3 linked regions of the Coturnix japonica genome follow. The protein of the gene in region 3 interacts with the protein of the main gene of each other region in a biochemical or structural test. Links are inferred from orthologs where the notes say so. Each region holds a gene or a part of one and is shown on either strand. Other genes may lie near its edges.

Region 1 (6,034 bases), on a different chromosome or scaffold from region 3:
TTTATCTGTATGGTATTAAGAAAACAAAAAAAGTTCATCATTCAGTCATGTTGATCTGTTTATTCAACTTCCTTTAGCTGGCACATGCTCATTCAATCCTTTGTTAGTCAGGATGTGATGTGATAAAGGACTTGGAAATGAGCACAGCCTTAGAAACAATATCTTATGCTTTTTTCATAGCACTCACATTGAAATGTGGCTCTTGCTGTAAATGCAGCTAAAACTAAAATATTGATGGTCCCATTACTTGACCAGTAGGAAACTGATTTTATCTTATTTGCTGGGAAAGATGTGCTCGTAGGGGAAAGGTTGGAATCATAAATTTCTCTCAGAGTTAATAATAGGGTTTTCTGTTTTATTTTTCTTTAAGCTGTTCAAGACAACTATGGAGTAAACCAGTTTGGTGTAGTATAGAAAGTTGTCCAACACAGATCACATAGAAATAACAAAGGTTCTTTCAATTACGTGCCAGGAAGATCCAAGTAAGCTAAATAGCCTTTGAGGTCTTGTGTAGCTGATTTGATTCCTCTTAAGAAGGTGAAACAGTGCGTCTGTAATAAATAGGAAATCCGACATCTGTCCACTGAGGTTCTGATGGTGTAAATCATTAGGATACTGATATATGTGCAGATTTCACATATTTACAGGAGGTCATTGCTGAAATTGTTCCATAAGTATTTTTCCTTGATACATGAAAATCAGACTTGCTCACTGAACATGTACTTAGTGAAGCCAGTACTACTGAAAACTTGTATGCAAATTTAAGTCATTTATTGTAGCCAAATAATACAAAATTGAGATTGATGTGCTAAAAATCTCTAAAAAAATGGATTAAAACAAAGGTTGATTCTATTACGCCTGAAACTTGTACCGTTTCTCATAATTTTCAAATTCTATTTTCTTGAAGATTTAGCTGAATTACATAATATTTTACAATTTACAATTTACAAATACAGCAATCTGATGTAAGACCTGTTCTTTGTACCTCATCTAGACTCATCAGCATGAACTGAAAAGTGGTGGATCAGAAATAGTTGTCACCAACAAGAACAAGAGAGACTACATTCAGTAAGTAGTGGTCCCTGTGTAAGTTGTCTCCCTGGGTAGCCACTCTAAGAATCAAGCCTATGTTGGCTGTATTAACAAAAGAAAGTTGCTACTGTGTATAGATTGGTTTTCATTTAAATATTCTCTTTTTTCCCACAGTCTTGTAATTCAGTGGAGATTTGTGAGCAGAGTACAGAAACAAATGGCAGCCTTTAAAGAGGTATAATTTTAAATACAAAAGATTCGTAGAATTTGTTGCATCCAGTCTTAAGACAGGCTTTTTAGAATGTGACATCCTAAAGACCTGTTGTAGTATTGTTACAAGTATAAGAAAGGCAGTGGCACTTTGTAATGTCAGCTTTGAATTTTCTCTGTCTCAAATTGTTTTAGTAAATTTTTACTGAGGTGGTAAATTCATATTGGAAAATTTGCATATTTCTCAATCCTGGCTGACAGCTGTAGCTGTAATGCAAATTACTGACTGAATTCTGCATAAATGAAAATGGAATCAGACTAAAAGAATTAAATGAAACTAGCTAGTTCATCCTTATTTGTGTGAGTGATATTACTTACACAGTGATCAGAGTTGGTAATTCGGTACAGCATGGTAAAGAAACATGGAATAAGTCAGAATTGAAGGAATTAATCAGTGAATAGCTGAAGATCAAGGAGCTGTATTTGATATATCGCTTAGGCTCTGTTTTCTATAGGTATCATTGTTTGTAAATGAAAACGCATAAATAATATTGTCTTGATTTTTAAAACTTCTGTTTTTAGGGCTTTTTTGAACTAATACCTCAGGATCTGATTAAGATTTTTGATGAAAATGAGCTGGAGGTAAGCATATTGTAGAAAAGAAAACAAATTACAATGAAACTTTTTATTACAGAATTAAACTTTGCTTGTTTTTTTTTCATGCATATAGTTACTGATGTGTGGACTGGGGGATGTGGATGTAGCTGATTGGAAACTACATACGAAGTACAAAAATGGCTACAATGTCAATCATCAAGTCATACAGTGGTTTTGGAAGGTATTACCAGATTTTTATTTTCACTTAAAAAAGCCTGTTCAAAAGATGCTCCATTTCAGCTATGCCAGTTCAGCACGTAGTTGATTCATCAGTAATTGGGTAAATAATTGTATGTTGAAAATCCTGAGAAAGACGATAAGCAAACTGAATGAGATGCATGGTAAGAGTGTAACAGACTGCTGGTAACTTGCCTATAAAAAACAACAACAACTAAAACAAACCTGTTTGGGTTTAAATATTACTGTGTAGCTTTCTGTTACATAGTTAAACTGAAAAGGTTAAAATCTTCCATCTAATAAAATAGCGGAATTTGGCTGCTAATTGATAGCATCAGGGAACTTCAAAGACAGTAGGGGTGGAAAGTCTGTTGCATAATTCTACTAGCTTAAAACCTTAATTAAAAACCTTTCAGCTAAGTCCTTAATTGTAATTATTATCATACACAGGCAGTCTTAATGATGGACTCTGAAAAGAGAATAAGATTACTGCAGTTTGTTACTGGCACATCGCGTGTACCTATGAATGGGTTTGCTGAGCTTTATGGTGAGTGCATAAGATTGTATTCACAATTAACTGAGAAAACGATATTTTAATGATATTTGACTTTAAACATGGGGTTGGTTTTTTTTTGTTTTTTTTTTTTCTATTTCTGTTTTAAAATAAGTTCTGAAGAGCTTCAAAGATCTCTGTTTAACACCTCGGTGAGCTTGAAGAAAATTCTGTTGTATAAGATAATGTTACAAAGACATGCTTGTATCAGTAGTTAACTTCAGATTCTCATGAGTTCTGTAACTGCCTTCATCTGCCCCCAAGCCACACCTACACAAATAGAATTGTTTGTAAGGATATCCACTCTGAAGTGGACCACTGAAATGATGTGAGTTAAACATGAGCCAAGAGAAGTAGCAAACCCACAGCAGGGAGACTGAAGCAAGCAGATGGCAGTGGGAGGCAGGCTGCAGTGCTAAAATGAGATGTCCCTTTGTGGAAAGTCTGTGGGCAAGCAGATAGGACGGCCCATGAAGGGTAGGGATGCTTGTGAGAAATCTGTTTTCAGCTGCCATCAGCTATTGAGTTTTCTGCTAGACTGCTTCATTAAGGCTGAACTGCAAGTGCAAGTGACTGAACAGTCTAACTTGTATATTTAAATTAACATTTCCTTCTTTGTAAACAACACAGTGATTTGTGTATAAAACAATAGGATTATCAACAAATACCAACCACTCTGTGTCCTGGTTTTCTCCTCTCTTCATTTTCATTGTGAATACTTGCTTCATTATTTTTTTCCATTCCATCACTGAAGGGGTTGTGAGTACCAAGGAGAAAAATGATGTGTGCAGCATTGCTGAGCCAGGTGTCTGCTCTCACACCTGATCCATGGGCACTGCTTTGGAGCTGCAGCACTTGGAACTTGATAGGAATTCTGTTGCCTCTGGAAGTGTTTTTAGACAAATAAAATCCTGTAAGGAAGGGAAGAATCTGTTGGATCTCTTAACCACTTTCTGCTCAGGGATTTATATCCTTGGGCAGCCTTCTGGACAAGTTACAGTTTTGACATTTCCGTTCAGTGAGCACAGTGCTTTGGTTCTTCCTTTTACAGTCGTTTCTTCTTCGCTGTGGCCAGCGTGCCATCCTCGCTAAATCCCAGTAATGGTCTGAGTCACACTCGTACCTGCTTGTATTTGAAGGACTGTCGGTGCTTTCCATGCCCTACGCCTGGGTTGCTTTCGTTCTTGGGGCTCGCTTCCTAGCGGCACATCTCCCTCTTGTGGCCACGCCGGGAATTTCTGTTCATTAAAAAGAATGCGGTGTGAATCGAGCAACGCTTGAGAGCAGATGCACAAAACAGCTGAGATTTCTTCTGTTTCTTGTCTTCCCCCAGCCTTGCTTTGTAAGCCTCTAGTTCAGTAGTTGAGTGGCTAAAATACAGGCTTATTCACACCTGGCTGTGAAAAGAGAGTCTTTTATTTTCATGTCACGTGGCAGAAAGCATTCTCAATTGTAGAGCTACTTCTCTGATTCATCCTTCTTCCTGGCATTCTTTCTAGTCGCCTTCTCTAAGCTTGGGAGGTTCCTATTAGTATTGATGGTCTCCTTGTAGAAGTGAGAGGACACCCACCATCGTAGGTCATCTCTTGTTCTCTGACAAAATAGTGATTCTGTCTTTTTGACATGCAGACAAATGCTTTCCACAGCTTAAGGAAATGGTTACTGTATGGGAAATTGGTAATCACAGCCTGAAGCTCTGATTAATCAGCTGAGGCAAGTGTTGGGTCAGCTGTGGGACCACAGGTGAGGGTAGTTTAGCTGTGCTCCCGGAAGGGGTGGAGCTTCACTCCACCTCCTCTAGACCTCATTCAAGGGCTGACCACCACTAAGGCAGCATCTCTTGGAGATTGCTCCTCAGTGGAGATTGCCTCAGTGGTTTCTAGCAGACTGAAGGCTTCCATACAGTTGAGTGTTTCCTGTAAATAACCTTTTGGATATTTACTACCATCTTTTCATTATTGTCACTGTGCAGTTACAAAAGGCCTTTCCCATCCACGTGGGACGAGTTGATTAGATTTAAAAACCTTTCAGATGTCTCATACTGTAAAAGAGTTGTTGAAGACTCAGGTGTAGCTGGAGCTGCAGTTGCTAACCAACAGTTCTCTCAGGTGTGTGTGTTCATTACGTGAGGTCTCTAGAGCTGCACACAAGGTTGCTGTATTTCAGAAAGTTTTCAGTTACTCTGCTCTGCTGTTGCCCAGGTAAAGGGACACGTTGACTAATTTCTGATAGGTCCACGTTGCCACATGGCACATTGTGAAAAGTATGTCTAAATTTTTACACAGAAAACACGCAGCATAAAACTGTCTTCCACATGAAGTGTTCAATGCCATTTGCTATGCATGCATGTTTAGGTCTGAGACTTCTGACTTTAAGGTGTGTAAAAGCCTTTTGAAATTAAGATGTACCAAGAAATACTTGAAGTAAATTCAAATTATCGACAATTATTGTGTTTACTGTATTTAATTCATGCAAAAGGCTCCTTCTAAATCTGATGTCAGATTTAGATAGTCTGATAGTCAGAATCTGATGACAAAAGAACAATGTATTTCATAATTTGAAATGATAGTGAAAAGAATCATGTGATCAGGTGAAAACTGAAGTGCTCTTCCCTACAGGTTCAAATGGACCACAGTTGTTTACAGTTGAACAGTGGGGCACCCCTGAAAAACTGCCAAGAGCTCATACCTGGTGAGTATTTAGTTTAGGTAAACTGTGTCCTTGAGTTAATGAAGAAATACTTACGAATTTTCATCTGTTTTTCAGCTTTAATCGCTTGGATTTGCCTCCGTATGATTCATTTGAAGATTTATGGGATAAACTTCTTCTAGCGATTGAAAATACTCAGGGCTTTGATGGGGTTGATTAAGCCACAGACATAAATTGTAACGGTCCAGTGCTGCAACTTCATTTCAAGGGTTTACAGATTTGAATTTTCCAGGGACTACCATTTTACTTAGTCACACGAGTATTCAATCTTCATAGTATCACTTGTAAAATAAGTATTAAAAATTCACTAACTTTTGAAAACATATTTTGCCATTTCCACAGTTTTGTATACTTTGATAATTACTACAATATACACGTTGGATGGGCCAGTGCCAAGTAAGTCAACAGCTAAAATGTTTTTAAGCAGTTGCTTCTTCTTACAGTATTTGACAGACTGTCCTGCAGTAAACTACTGAAGTAAAACTGTGAAGAAATCTTTGCAGAGGATGTACATTTGAATTGCTGCTTTGAGAGAAACGACTGAAATTGTTAGCGAGTTAAAAATATGTACTTCATGTAATGCAATATCATCTGTGCTGCTTCAGGCTATTTGCTACAGACCTGCCCAAAGCACCTTATAATTCAGCATATTAGGTAAAACGTTGCAGAGCATTTGTTGGTGTTACCAGCTCTCAG
Region 2 (6,034 bases), on a different chromosome or scaffold from region 3:
TCTCCTCAGATCCCTTGGCTTTGGGCAATGCCAGAGCCGCAATGATCCCATTTACACATCTCTTGTCTATACACTGAAGGGCCACAGCTCCAGCACAGCCACCCCCTGAGACCACCCAGCACCCCCAGGACCCCCAGGTGCTGCTCACCGCAGGACCTCATCCCAGGTCTTCTTCAGCCGGTGCACAGCGTTGCACTGCAGAGCTGAAAGGATGGCTCTGAGCGAGGAGAAGTTCTTCAGGATGCGGCACTCCTGAAAGCAGATAAAGGGGACAGCAGGGCTTGATGTTAAACAAAGCCAAGGGATCTGCTTTGATTTGTACACCACAAACCCCCAGCCCTGGGCAAAGTGAATGGGGCTGCACTTGTCCTACCCGAGCCACTTCGATCCATCTCTCCACCACTTTAGCCCTCTGCTGTGGCTTCAGGGTCCGGTCCCCGAGGCACGTGGCAATGACACAGTTGGCCACGCTATTGAACTGCGAGACAGTGGCACGGATGGTGGGTGCCAGGTGTTCTTTGCCTTTCTTGTCTCGCTGGGACCAGATGCAGCCCAAGCAGTGGTAAGGCACCACTTTCTTAAACAGCTCCTGGAAGATAAAGGGATGGGATGGGTCTCTTAGGGGAAAAGATGGAGTGGTGTGTGAGGGAACACAGTGGTTTGTGCCCAGAGCAGCAGCACTGACCCTGTGCTGAATGAGTACTCACAGCATCCATGAGTGTGAACTGCTCTGCCACCATCTCAGGGGAGAAGGAGAGGAAATCTGACTTCCCATCCCCGACCCCGTTCTCCTCCACCAGCTGGAACGTGCAGCCACCGTGATCCACAGCTGTGAAGATGGCACAAAGCTGAGCCCTGCAGCACAGAACCCCACTGCATCCCACACCACATCCCACCTCCAGCAGCTCTGCTTTCACACCTCAGCATAAGGCTCAGATAAACACACAGGCGTATTTAACCCGGATGCAAGTGTCTGCAGAGGATTAAAGGCAGATTAACCAATCCACTTAGAAATCCCACTTCTATCTCAGCTGGATTAGCTTCCCTGTGTACCTCCACATCCAGCCACGTGGTAACACCTGAAGCTCCTTACAGACCCTGATATCCCCATGAGCAGGGAACCATCCCCACCTTCTGCTTCAGTCTCGCTCTGCTCCTGCTGCTGAAACTGGGCCAGGAGGATGCGGGCTCTGCGCTCCAGGTCTGAACCAGGGATGTTATGGCGCACGTAGGAGATGAGCTGCTTGAGGCAGGCAAAGTCTGGGGGTTTACGGAAGTCCTCTGAGTACTGGTCCAACCAGGCGCCCAGGATGGAGGAGATGGTGCTATGGGGAAAGGAACAGAGGGGAGAGCTGGGTGAGGTCATGAGAAACATATAGGACAGCACATGCCTCCATGCGAGAACTGAACAGCAGTCACCCCCAGTATGGTCAGACTTACTTCTTCAGCTCCATCCTCTCATCCACAACGTGCCTGGCGTGGTCCCCGTTTGTCTGCACGTGCAGTTTGCCATACCTGAGGGGGATGGGAGAAGCCCATCAGACCTCCAAGACATGACATAAGATGCTGGAGCTCTCCTGGCTGAGGATGCTCAGACATCAGCCACTTCTATCTGCATTTTGGGGCACGGACACCTCACCTGTTAAGCAGCAGGTCCAGCACTTGCTTGGTGGTGGCAAAGGCCCGGTAAGTGCACAGGAAAATGGTGACATAGGTGGAATCATTGCCCTTGAAGGCTGAAACCAGGTACTCCACCAGCTTCTCCAAGGTCCCAGCTTTTATCGTCCGCACCTTACACGTCTCATAGAGGTTTAAGGCTGACTCGTTCTCGAACTGCTGGGACAGGAGCAGAAGTCAGCGGGGTGGATGAAGATGGATTGCCCAAATGAATACATGATTTTCAGATTGTGCTTGGAAGGAGCTCCAAGAACATGAGCATGTGGGGACACAAGGATGTAGCCCAGTAAAGACACTGCTGAGCCCTGACACCACGTCATTCTGTGTGGCAGAAAATCCCCCACTTACCCCCAGCCATCGCTGCCCCTTGTTGGCTGTGTGATGGAGCTGCACTTTGCGCAGCGATATGCTGTAGATTACACCATCCTCCAGCTCTTCTCCAATCTCCTGTGTGGAGCTCTGCACGGGACAACAAGATACACCATGAGATAAGGAGGGTAACATGTGGCACAGATGCTCTCCTAAGCCTGGATGGGGTATCCCAAAGACAATTTGTTCACCCACCTACGCCCAAGCAGAGCCAAGACTCTGCATGCCCACACCCCAGTTATCTCCCTCCCTGTGCCTTTATATGACATAAGGTGACATTGCTGCTGGCTCTAACCGTAATCTCAGTAATCTGCCCTAGCTTCAGCTGAGCACCTCAAGCACCCAAAGCCTCATAACAAATAACAACTGGAGAACGAAGCTATCCATGAGCTTTGGGCAATGTTGGCCAAGCATGCTGGGCAGAAAGTCAAGGGGGTTGCTCAAATCCTAGAGTAGAATGGGTTGGGTTGGATGGGCCCTAACAGACCATCCAGCTCCAACACCCATGGCTCAGGCAGGGTTACCAACCACTAAATAAGGCACCAGATCAGGCTGCCCAGGGCCCCATCCAGCCTGGCCTTGAACATCTCCAGAGATGGGTGTCCTCAACTTCTCTGGGCAGCCTGAATTGTGGAAGAAAACTCAGAGAGCAGCAATAGGGTGGGTGCCCTTGGGGACATATGAACAGATGGTTGTACCCAGGGCCATTACCAGACCCTGCCATGAGGCTCATGTTTCTGTTCTGGGGATATAGAAACCACCTCAGATGCAGTTTGGCCCCCTCTCACCACACTCTGCTGAGTCAGCACCTCTCCTAACTCTCCTAAGAGGATTTCTGTAGCTCCCTCCCTCCAGCCCCCACCCACACCATTTGGGGCATCGCACATGGCAAAACCCACTGCCCAGCAGATGGGGAGAACTCCTGGAAGCAGTAAGAGCTTTAGCAGGGGGATGCAGCCACATGCTGAGTGCAGAACACTGCCAGCCCATTGCCAACAACAGCCTGCAGCTTTCCCTGCAGTCTGCAGAGCACTGAAACCCCCTAAGGAATGGCAACTGCTCAGAGCTTGCTGAGGACTAAGGCAACCAGCAGGTGCCCCATCCCATGCTGCTCCCAGTGGTGGTCTCAGCGCTTCATAGAATCACAGTGCTCGGAAAAGATGGCGAGGATCATCTATTCCAACCATCACCACCATGCCCACTAAGCCACTTCCTTCCCATGTCTTTCCCTTGAAGCCAGACCACGGCTTAAACTGAGCAGTACGACTCAGCATGCACCAGGAACACCCCAGCTTCTTGCAAAGTACTCTCCTCCTAATCCTCTCCCCATGGATGTGAGGGCTGTAGGTCCAGGAGATGCTGAACAAAAAGCTCCAAACAAAATCCGAGCAGAGGTTTGACCAGGTCATCGGAAAACTTGGACGCAAAGAACCAAGAAAAAGCAGATGCTCGTCGAGGTGCAGTCAAATTAGTTAAGAAATCAAATCATGTGAGAGGACGAAATGTCCCGAGATCAATGCATGAATCATTGGCAGCTGCTGTGCAACTACAGTGGAAATTATTGCCACAACTGCGAGGGCTTCCACCTCTTGTATTTCACGTCACGTGCAGAAAAAGCACACCCGATTCTGATGCGTGTAGAGGCGAATTTCATTTCCTTCCCATATTCAAGACTGTCAAGATTCATTCATTTCTTTGTTTGCTGACTCCTGTGATATCCCCCAAAGTTCCCCCTTTGCAAACCACACGCACAGCACGCGGCTCCCAGCAGTCTCCAGTTTGGCTCACGCCAAGAGCTGGGCGAGCTGCTACACTGCTACATTCTAAAATCTGGTTATTTATATTCAGCGTGAGCTTCCTCTTTCCTACCGCTCTTTCTCCAAGATGCTGATTGTGCATTCTGCACGTGTGCGTTAAAAAGCAACCGAGCAAAAAGCAACAGCGAGGCCTAGGCTGTGCAGCACACCTCAGCAAGCTCACATCTCTGCTTTGTAGGACACGGCCTTCAATGCAAACCCTCCCTCATGAGCAGCTCCACCTAAAGCACTCAGCATTGATATGGGTGAGCAGCCCCTTCCACTTCTACTGACCGCTCTGAGATTTGTGCCTTCTACCACGCTCATGTAGAAGGGGCTGAATGCAGTGTAAAATGAGATCCAAAGCACAAAAAGAAACAGGAACGCAGCAAAAACAATCACTCAGCCACCACATCTACAGCTCAGCAGCCCTGAACATCCAGCCATTCCAATGGAGGCAGAGCAAGAAAACCCCGCTCTTGTTTAACCTGGTGGGGAATCAAGCAAGCAGTTCTGCATGGAGACTTTTGCAAAAGCCATAAGTGAACGCTGTGGGAGTTCACCCCCTGAAATATGAACTGGCGGCCGCACCAGATGGCCCGCCTGCTTTTCCAGCTCCTCGGAGCTGTGTTTTGCCCTGGGCTGTGTGAGCAACGCTGAGCTCTGGCCCTCGGTTCAAAGCTGTGCTGACTGCAGCGGGGAGGAATTCCTGCTCCGTGCAATAAACTCTTCCGCTCTCGGGCGCGTGTTCTGGTACACAGCGCGGCGCTGAGCCCACGTCTGCACACAGGGGTTTAATAACGAGCAAGAGGATTCAGGCAAGGTTTGAGAGCCTGGAGGAGGGGCTGCGGTGCAAGCAACGAGGAATGGAGCAGCAGGAGCCTGCCTGCATCAGCCCAATGGGGGGAAACACCAAACCCAAACAGCAAAGAACATAGTGGCTAGGAAACCATGTTCTGGAGAGCCTTGGAGATGAGTCACAGACGTGATTTTGGAAAGACAGGAGCACAGAGCAGGATTAAGTGTGAGCATGACCACGTTCCTGTGCATCGCACACCATTATCCCCACAATTACCAGGTCTTAAGAGCTCCGCTCCCACGTGGCCCTGGGTTAGAGTGCTGGCTTCCAAAGACACAAAATAATGAACTGTTAGTGGAAAAAGGTATTAATTTCAACACACGTGGAAGAGACAAAACTGCTTAAAGAGCTTTAACTGATGCTCCCTCAGCAACAGCTGGTTGAAAGCTCAGGATGGCTGCCTTGCTTGGCTCCCCTTCAGCGCTGCAACGCAGAACTTGAGTTCTGTAAGTGGGCACAGTGCAGCACGGACCTTTCCATGGCACATCCCCAACCCAAAAGGGAATTGCTTGAGCTGGAGTTTCCCATTGAAGCTCTGTATTTGCATGGGTTCAAAAGCCAGATGGAAGACAAAAAGATACTGGGGGTTGGGCTTCTCAGCCTCCAGTCCATTCTTGTAATAATACCTTCCTCCAGCAATGGGAAATTGGCTCTTTCAGACAGAAAAGAAACCAAGGACATTTCCTCGTGGTTTCCAACATCTCTGAGTTAACTTTCATTTCGCCCCCAGGAGCAGATCCTGACCCCACGCAATGCACAGCAGTAACTTTGGGGCCTCTTATGTAAACCAAAACGGACGGCGTTATGCAAAGGAAACTGGAAACAAAAAGCCACCCCCATCTAGTGAAAGGAAAACAAGTTCAGTTCCGTGAACCGCAGAGAAAGACCGCAAAAGCAGAAGTACCCCCCATCCTGCCCACACAAAATGAGAGCATGCAGCACAACACCCTTCCTCATGGGGACTTCCAGTGCAAAACCCCAGCAGATGTTGTCCCTGTCGTGGTGGGTTGGGAACATCCCATCTGCTCCTCAGCCATTTCCTTTCTCTGGCCACACTCAGGAAGCCCACAGAGCTGGTGGGTGATGCCTTGATTTGGAGAAAGGTGCCTAATGCTGCAGTACCCACAGCTCCCAACACCATCACTGTGCCATGCCCACATCCCAACACCATACCCACTGTACCACTTGGGTACCAAGGCTCTCCAGCAGACCTAGGCAGGTCAATCTCACACTGTGTCCTTTCCCCTTGTTCTGTGTTTCACTGCCCCACTGGAGCTTAAATCCCAGCCCCACACAGTGCTGCAGCACTGGGGTGACCAGCAGACAGACAGAC
Region 3 (6,643 bases):
CCGTGCAGTGAATAAAAATAGATCTATAGGCCCTGTCCATCGCTTGTATGCTAGCACACAGTCAGAGGCCACAGCAGCTAGTGCAAAACTTATGCAACAGAATGTTGTTTGCTGTGTAAAAATAGGAAATATTTATAGAGAAACTCCAGCCTATCATAAGACGGTGTGGTTAGCCACAGGCTGCTGAAGTCTGAAATATGATAGCTTGGTATAAAAGACTCGAGAAGGGAGCAATAAAACTGTCTGAAGCCTAAAGTTTCTAAACTCTGTGAAGGCAGCAAAATTCCAGCCACACGGCACAGATGGACTGGATAACTCCTGAGACTGTTCAGAGAAGCTGCAAAGGAGGTCATGCTGGGAAAGGAGACTGCCTGTCTGCTTCTGCTCATCAGATGTGGATGGAGATATCAGCCTGGACAAACCCTGTCTAGCTCAATCTTTGGTGGCATAAAACTTTCTCTTTCTTTGAAACATACTTTTTTTTCTTTTTCCATCCAACTATTTGGTAGAGAACAGTGCAAGGATAAGCAATGTGCATAAAAGAAAGAACTGGCAGTACCGAAGCAGCCCCATGTTCTCAAACTCACTAAAAATAACTACACATAACTAATATCTGCATTTGTTTTTAGCACAGAAATTCCTGCACTTACCAGCTGAATTTTCTACGTTGTCATCTTTCCCAGGTGAATCAGAATCAACAGGGAGAAGGCTAGAAATCTAGGGCAATGGTAAGGTTTTTAGCTTCATCAGGGAAGTGACAGATCCTCAGGAACAGTCACCCATTCTGGGCATCCAGCACCTTCTCCCCCTGCCCGTTCTGCCCTTCCTTTACCATCTTCCAAGCCACAAAAGCTGTTCCCATGCATCCCATTTTTCTGATTCTTTTGTCCCTGCAAACATCATCCCACTATCATTAAGTGACAAAATGCCTCACTGCCCATGAAACTTGACCATCTCCAGACAGACCAGCTGGCGCAAATCTGTTTGGTGTGAGCACTCCTGTTGCATCTTCATTCTGATCACCCCCCTCACCATAAACCAGCAGTCAGCACCTTTAGCTGTTTACGAGGCTGAACAGTGATAGGACAAGGGGGAAATGGTCTTAAACTGAGACAGGGGAGGTTTAGGTTGGATATTAGGAGGAAGTTTTTCACACAGAGGGTGGTGACGCACTGGAACAGGTTGCCCAAGGAGGCTGTGGATGCCCCATCCCTGGAGGCATTCAAGGCCAGGCTGGATGTGGCTCTGGACAGCCTGGGCTGGTGGTCGGTGACCCTGCACATAGCAGGGGGTTGAAACTGGATGATCTTTGTGGTCCTTTTCAAGCCAGGCCATTCTATGGTTCTATGAGCACTTCTTTCTTCAAGGCAGACTAAAAGATGGGTATTGTGGCCCTTTTCAAGCCAGGACATCCTATGGTTCTATGAGCACTTCTTTCTTCAAGGCATCTGTGAGCATCCTGCCGAGATAACTTAGTTTGGAAGCTCCGCAGATCCAAAAGAGGAGGAAAAAGCACAACACCAAAGGAAGATGAGAAGCGCAGCCCCACGAGAGCCCTTTTCAGACAGCGTTCGGAGCATTATTTGTGCCCGTAACAGGCACCAAGCCCCTCCTCTCTATATCCCTCGACACCCAGCGATGCCCCATCACTATCGACGCCTCACACTGAAGAGACGAGCGCTCAACCAACCCCAACTTGGCGCCTCCCAACCAGCACTTCCGGCCGCGGCCCCGCCCAGCTCTAACCCCGCCCCCCTCGCGCTGCCATTGGCTCAACCCTCCCTCCGCGTGACAGCGGCGCGGCCGCCGATTGGTCGAGCGGCTCGGGGGGGCGAGTGGGCGGGGCATCTGTCTCCATGGAGACAGCGCAGGGCCGGCAGGAAACCGCCGCTCCCGGGAGTCACGTGCCTCTAACGCGCTCTCCCATTGGCCGGCGCCTCAGGGCGGGGGTAGGCGGCGGGGAGAGCCACGTGACTCCGTCCTCCCCGCTCTGTCTCCCGCCGCCCGGTTGGCTGTTGCCGTGGCGACCGGGGAAGGAGGGGGCGGGGCGGGCGCCCCACCTCAGCCGCGCCGCGGCCGGCAGCACCCGGCGGGAGCGGCGGGGAACGGGACGGGAGGGGGCGGCTCATGGCGGGGGGGTGAGGGTCGGGCGGCAGGTGAGGGTCGGGCGGCGGCTGGAGGGCGGAACGAGGCTCGCCGGGAGGATGCGGGAGTACAAGGTGGTGGTGCTGGGCTCGGGAGGGGTGGGGAAGTCCGCCCTCACGGTGCAGTTCGTCACCGGCACGTTCATCGAGAAGTACGACCCCACCATCGAGGACTTCTACCGCAAGGAGATCGAGGTGGACTCGTCCCCGTCCGTGCTGGAGATCCTGGACACGGCGGGCACCGAGCAGTTCGCCTCCATGCGGGACCTCTACATCAAGAACGGGCAGGGCTTCATCCTGGTCTACAGCCTGGTCAACCAGCAGAGCTTCCAGGACATCCGCCCCATGCGCGACCAGATCATCCGCGTCAAGAGGTGCCGTGTCCCCGCGGGGCCGGGGCGGGGGTCGGGGGCCTCCGTGCTCCCCGCGGCCGGGGTGTGGGGGGGAGCCGCCCGCAGGCGGGGCCCGAGCTCTCCTCGCTTCCCCGCGGCCGCCGAGCCGGGTGTGGGCATCGGGCTGGAAGCACAACGAGGGAATGCACGTACCAGCACGGCGCTGCCGCTGTACGAGGGGGAGGGAGCCGGCAGCCCTTGTAGAATGGGCCACCAGCACGGCTTGCACGGTCCGGAACACGGTGTAGAGCCGTGGTGAAAGTGGGCAGGCAGGGCCCAGGCCTTCGGGAGGGCTGCAACTTTCTGCTTCCCTGATACGTGCCTTAACTTTTTTCGTAGGGGGTATCAAGGCTGATGTAACGCGTTTTTCTGTGTTGAGTTCAAAATAACTTGGTTTTCTTTACCTTTGCGATTCTCGCCGTGCATGCAAACGTTATAGAAGAAGAGGTTTTTCTGCAAGTAGTGAAGGTAGGAGTTATGCGCTCGTTAGCCTTTGGTTCCCCCGTGCTTTGTCAGTCTGAGTGCTGTGGCTCTGCCTGTGCTCAGACCCGAACTGACATCTCTAGATGCTGAAACAGAATAGAAAGTGACTGCCACTTCCATGCTTACATTGACTCAGCACTGCTTGGGTAGGTCTGAATGCCACTCTTGTTCTTCTTCTGTTGTGTCTTGTGTCACAAGGCTTCAACTTCTGGCTTGCAGAGAGGTTCCTGATGAAAGATTCACCAGCAACGCTTTAATTCTATATTTCCTGTATGCAAAGTAACCAAAAAGCAGCTGAAATCGTGGTTCTAGCCAGTCCTGATGCTTGTAAGTGAGCTGCAGTTGAAAGGCAGATGCTGTTGACTTGCTGAAAGCACATCTTCCAATTCACTTTTTAACATTGAAAGTGTACCAGATGCTCCCTAGCCAACGTACCTCACGGTTTGTTGTTGTTCTGTTTCAGAGGTTGCTGGAGCTAGCAGGCAATGTATAAGATGTGTTGTACTGTCAGTTTAACCAGTAACAGGGGTGCAAGCTGAACTGGAAGAATGCGTATTCAAAGATATGCACCTGTGCAAGTAGTTGTTATATATGAAATGCAGCTGCACAAAGGCATTTAATCCTTACTGAAGGGCAGGTAATCACAGTCTGATTTACCCAGGGATTCTGCAGGATGCGTACCTAGAAAAACCAAGTGTTTGCTTATATTGATACAAAACCATCGCTGAGTTATCAACGTACCTGAGAACGGCTCAGTGAGGTCTCGTAACCTGTGCGTATCTTTATATTTTACATGTTGTCCCTGCTCTTGTTTTCTGATGAAGGTACCCTTGTATTCTTATATAAGCAGAGTTGCTTTTCATGTAAAGTAGAAAAGCCAGGTGAAATTTCCTCTTCAAGTTGAGATACAGGCTTCAATTTTCTGCCTCCCTGGTCTAACCACATACCAGACCAAAGTAAGCGAAGGAAGGCCTTCATTCCACCTGATGAAGTTGTTTTATGTTAGAGGAATGAATAATGTGTTTACAGGGCCAGCAGGGAGAGGAAGATGTAGACCTTCACTCAACTCTGAAGCGAATGGTTAGAAGCAGTTAAGGTAGCTGTTGCCTCTATGGTTTCTGCTGAATGGCTATTTAATGTTAAAAAACAATGCATTAATAGGCCTGAACAGGTCTGAAATCCAGGTCTCCCAGTTTCCAGAGAAGTCTCCTAATGGTATAACTAAAAGTCTAGCTTTTTTTGTACTGCTTAGTGTGGGAGCCCTGCATCCCTTTCAGGTGTGGTGCACAGCTTTAGCAAGAAGAGTGGAGGGTGTCTCCATAGCCTTTAACAGGTAATTAAAGTCCTTTAGTGCGAAATTTTGGTTTAAGTCTAAACTGCCTTTTCCAAATAAACATATTTTTGTCTAGATCTTCCTGGGGATGAATCAAAGCACTACCTTCAGTGCCGAAGTCCTGTCAGTGCTGAGTGGATGGATGCACTGCCAGCCCTTTCTGACCAGACATAAGATGAGTAGAAGGGAAAGGATTTAGAAGTGCTTCCTGTGCTGTAGGATGGGGTTTTCCATAACTAAGCATACCACCAGTGTGGGATGGAAGACTGTGGTGGTACAGGATCAAAGCTTTACAGAATCAAGTCTTCCTCCTTTAGGTGCTGCTTCTTACAGGAGTTCCTACCCAACAAGTGACTTGGCCATAGCTTGTGATGTACAAAGCAATCACGTTTGCAGTGAGCTGTCCTTGCAGTGCTGCCAGCCAGCCATGCTTATCTGGAGATATGCTTCAGCACAAGTACATGGGGAGAAAGAAACTGTTGAAAAAGTGAAGCAGTGGCAGCCTTGTTTTGCTTGTTGAGGAATGTAATCAGAAAAGGAGAGTGAAAGATGTGTGGTGGCTCAGTGTGAGGCGTCGGGTTGTACGCGGTGAGTCAAAGGCATAAGGTTGCTGTCTGGATTTGGGAACTTGAGGGCACTTCTGTGCTTGTTTGAAGCAGTTATCACCGGTGATGATAGATAAGCTTAGTTTGGGAACTCCTACTCGCAATGCAATTTGAAATGCGTTGTTCAAACCCCACGTGTTCAGGCACCTAATACCAGCTTCTGGATCCTGCTTGCGCCAAATCTGTATCTTAAACCTTGGCTCTTCCAATTCTTGAAGATGAGTACTTCCGAATGCTGAGAGGTGGTAGCGTTAGGAAGATGAGATGTACCCCAGCATATTTTTCATGTGGTAGCTTACTATGTCCATTTTTACTAGAACCTCGTGAAATAGAAAAGTGTTCTCATTTCTGTTCAAGCAGAAACTAAAGCACAGAAATAACCATCTTACCCATTCAGTTTGCTGTTCTTCTATTGCTGTAGTTTCTCTAGACATCTGACCGGTGTTATGAAGACAGGACTGTTGTGTTTGTGTCTTGCAGAATCTACTAGATAATACTTGTAGCAATACTCTTGGGAAATGCTTTGTTTCAAGTAGTGGGAAAACAAGTAAATATTAAATTTTAATTAATCTACTGCTTTCTTCTCTAGGAAACAAAGACCAGAAAACATTAATTTAGGTTGACTGAAAACGCGGGCTGAACGGTGTAGGTATATTAAGAAAAAACATCACAAGGACGTGTCTAAACTGAATGTTCTTTGTGGCAATGTTCACCATCAGGATGAAAATCTGCCTCCTGGTCTAGAGATTCTGTGTGGCAATTTCAAGCATATGAGAGAAGTGATTATTGAAATCTATTAATTGTGAAATCAGCATCTTGAGTCAATGATAATTGATGTACTTAAGTGACTTAATGGTGATTAAGTCTGGAAAACTATACTTGGAATTACAAATTGCTCAAATGTCTAGTTGAAAAATGTTGTTTTCCAAATGCTTTAAAGATTAAATGCTTTCTACTCAATGATCATTTAGTACATTGGGGTCCATATCCTTGTTAAAACTAGATAATATGATGATAAAAAAAAATGGCTGTCAATCAGTATAGAGTTTTGAAGAGATTAAATAGTTTACTTTGTTCTTTAGCTCTTTGCTTCAGTTAATATTCTTCAGACTAGGTTGAATTTACCAGCGGCCACAGAATCCCAGAGTGGTTAAGGCTGGAGGAGACTTCTGGAGATCATAGAATCATAGAATTACCCAAGTTGGAAAAGACCTTGAAAATCATCAAGTCCAACCACAGCCTAACCAGAACCCTAACTCTAAACATCCTCCACTAAATCATATCCCTCAGTACCACATGCAAACAGCTATTAAGCACATCCAAGGATGGCGATTCAACCACCTCCCTGGGAAGCCTATTCCAGTACCTAACTACCCTTTCTGTAAAGAAGTTCTTCCTAATATCCAACCTAAACATGCCCTTCTGGTCCAACTTCAGGTTCTGAAAATAACCACCTGGTGCAACCCCAGCTATTCTGAAGCCCTGTGTATTTCACATTTCTTTTTGACTAAAGAAAGTCCCATTTAGACCGGTATTCATGAAGCAGTGCTGTAACACACTTGACAGCAAACAGGTTCCGGCCTTCCAGGAAGAAATAGTTAAACACCCAGTGGGACTTAAACTTGGAAAATACTGCTCTTCTAAAGCACTATTTGCAAAAGAACAAAGCAAATGCGTAGAGATTTT

What was found.
Region 1: the proteins of RAP2A (region 3) and NEDD4 form a complex in vitro, tested with the Homo sapiens proteins (2 studies listed by BioGRID). The link is inferred for Coturnix japonica from reciprocal best matches to the Homo sapiens genes RAP2A and NEDD4.
Region 2: the proteins of RAP2A (region 3) and RALGDS form a complex in vitro, tested with the Homo sapiens proteins (2 studies listed by BioGRID). The link is inferred for Coturnix japonica from reciprocal best matches to the Homo sapiens genes RAP2A and RALGDS.

The regions. Positions count from the first base shown.
Region 1 is NC_029525.1:6,753,040-6,759,073, forward strand, and holds part of NEDD4 (E3 ubiquitin-protein ligase NEDD4), read left to right. Parts: intron 1-994; coding exon 995-1,068; intron 1,069-1,206; coding exon 1,207-1,267; intron 1,268-1,824; coding exon 1,825-1,884; intron 1,885-1,972; coding exon 1,973-2,080; intron 2,081-2,526; coding exon 2,527-2,623; intron 2,624-5,247; coding exon 5,248-5,320; intron 5,321-5,395; coding exon 5,396-5,498; 3' UTR 5,499-6,034. UniProt on the Homo sapiens protein: E3 ubiquitin-protein ligase which accepts ubiquitin from an E2 ubiquitin-conjugating enzyme in the form of a thioester and then directly transfers the ubiquitin to targeted substrates. Specifically ubiquitinates 'Lys-63' in target proteins.
Region 2 is NC_029532.1:5,338,859-5,344,892, forward strand, and holds part of RALGDS (ral guanine nucleotide dissociation stimulator), read right to left. Parts: intron 2,137-6,034; coding exon 2,026-2,136; intron 1,837-2,025; coding exon of another isoform or gene 1,834-1,836; coding exon 1,640-1,833; intron 1,516-1,639; coding exon 1,441-1,515; intron 1,326-1,440; coding exon 1,132-1,325; intron 830-1,131; coding exon 708-829; intron 590-707; coding exon 374-589; intron 253-373; coding exon 149-252; intron 1-148. UniProt on the Homo sapiens protein: Functions as a guanine nucleotide exchange factor (GEF) activating either RalA or RalB GTPases and plays an important role in intracellular transport. Interacts and acts as an effector molecule for R-Ras, H-Ras, K-Ras, and Rap.
Region 3 is NC_029516.1:130,771,523-130,778,165, reverse strand, and holds the start of RAP2A (ras-related protein Rap-2a), read left to right. Parts: upstream 1-2,144; 5' UTR 2,145-2,204; coding exon 2,205-2,518; intron 2,519-3,010; exon of another isoform or gene 3,011-5,602; intron 5,603-6,643. UniProt on the Homo sapiens protein: Small GTP-binding protein which cycles between a GDP-bound inactive and a GTP-bound active form. In its active form interacts with and regulates several effectors including MAP4K4, MINK1 and TNIK.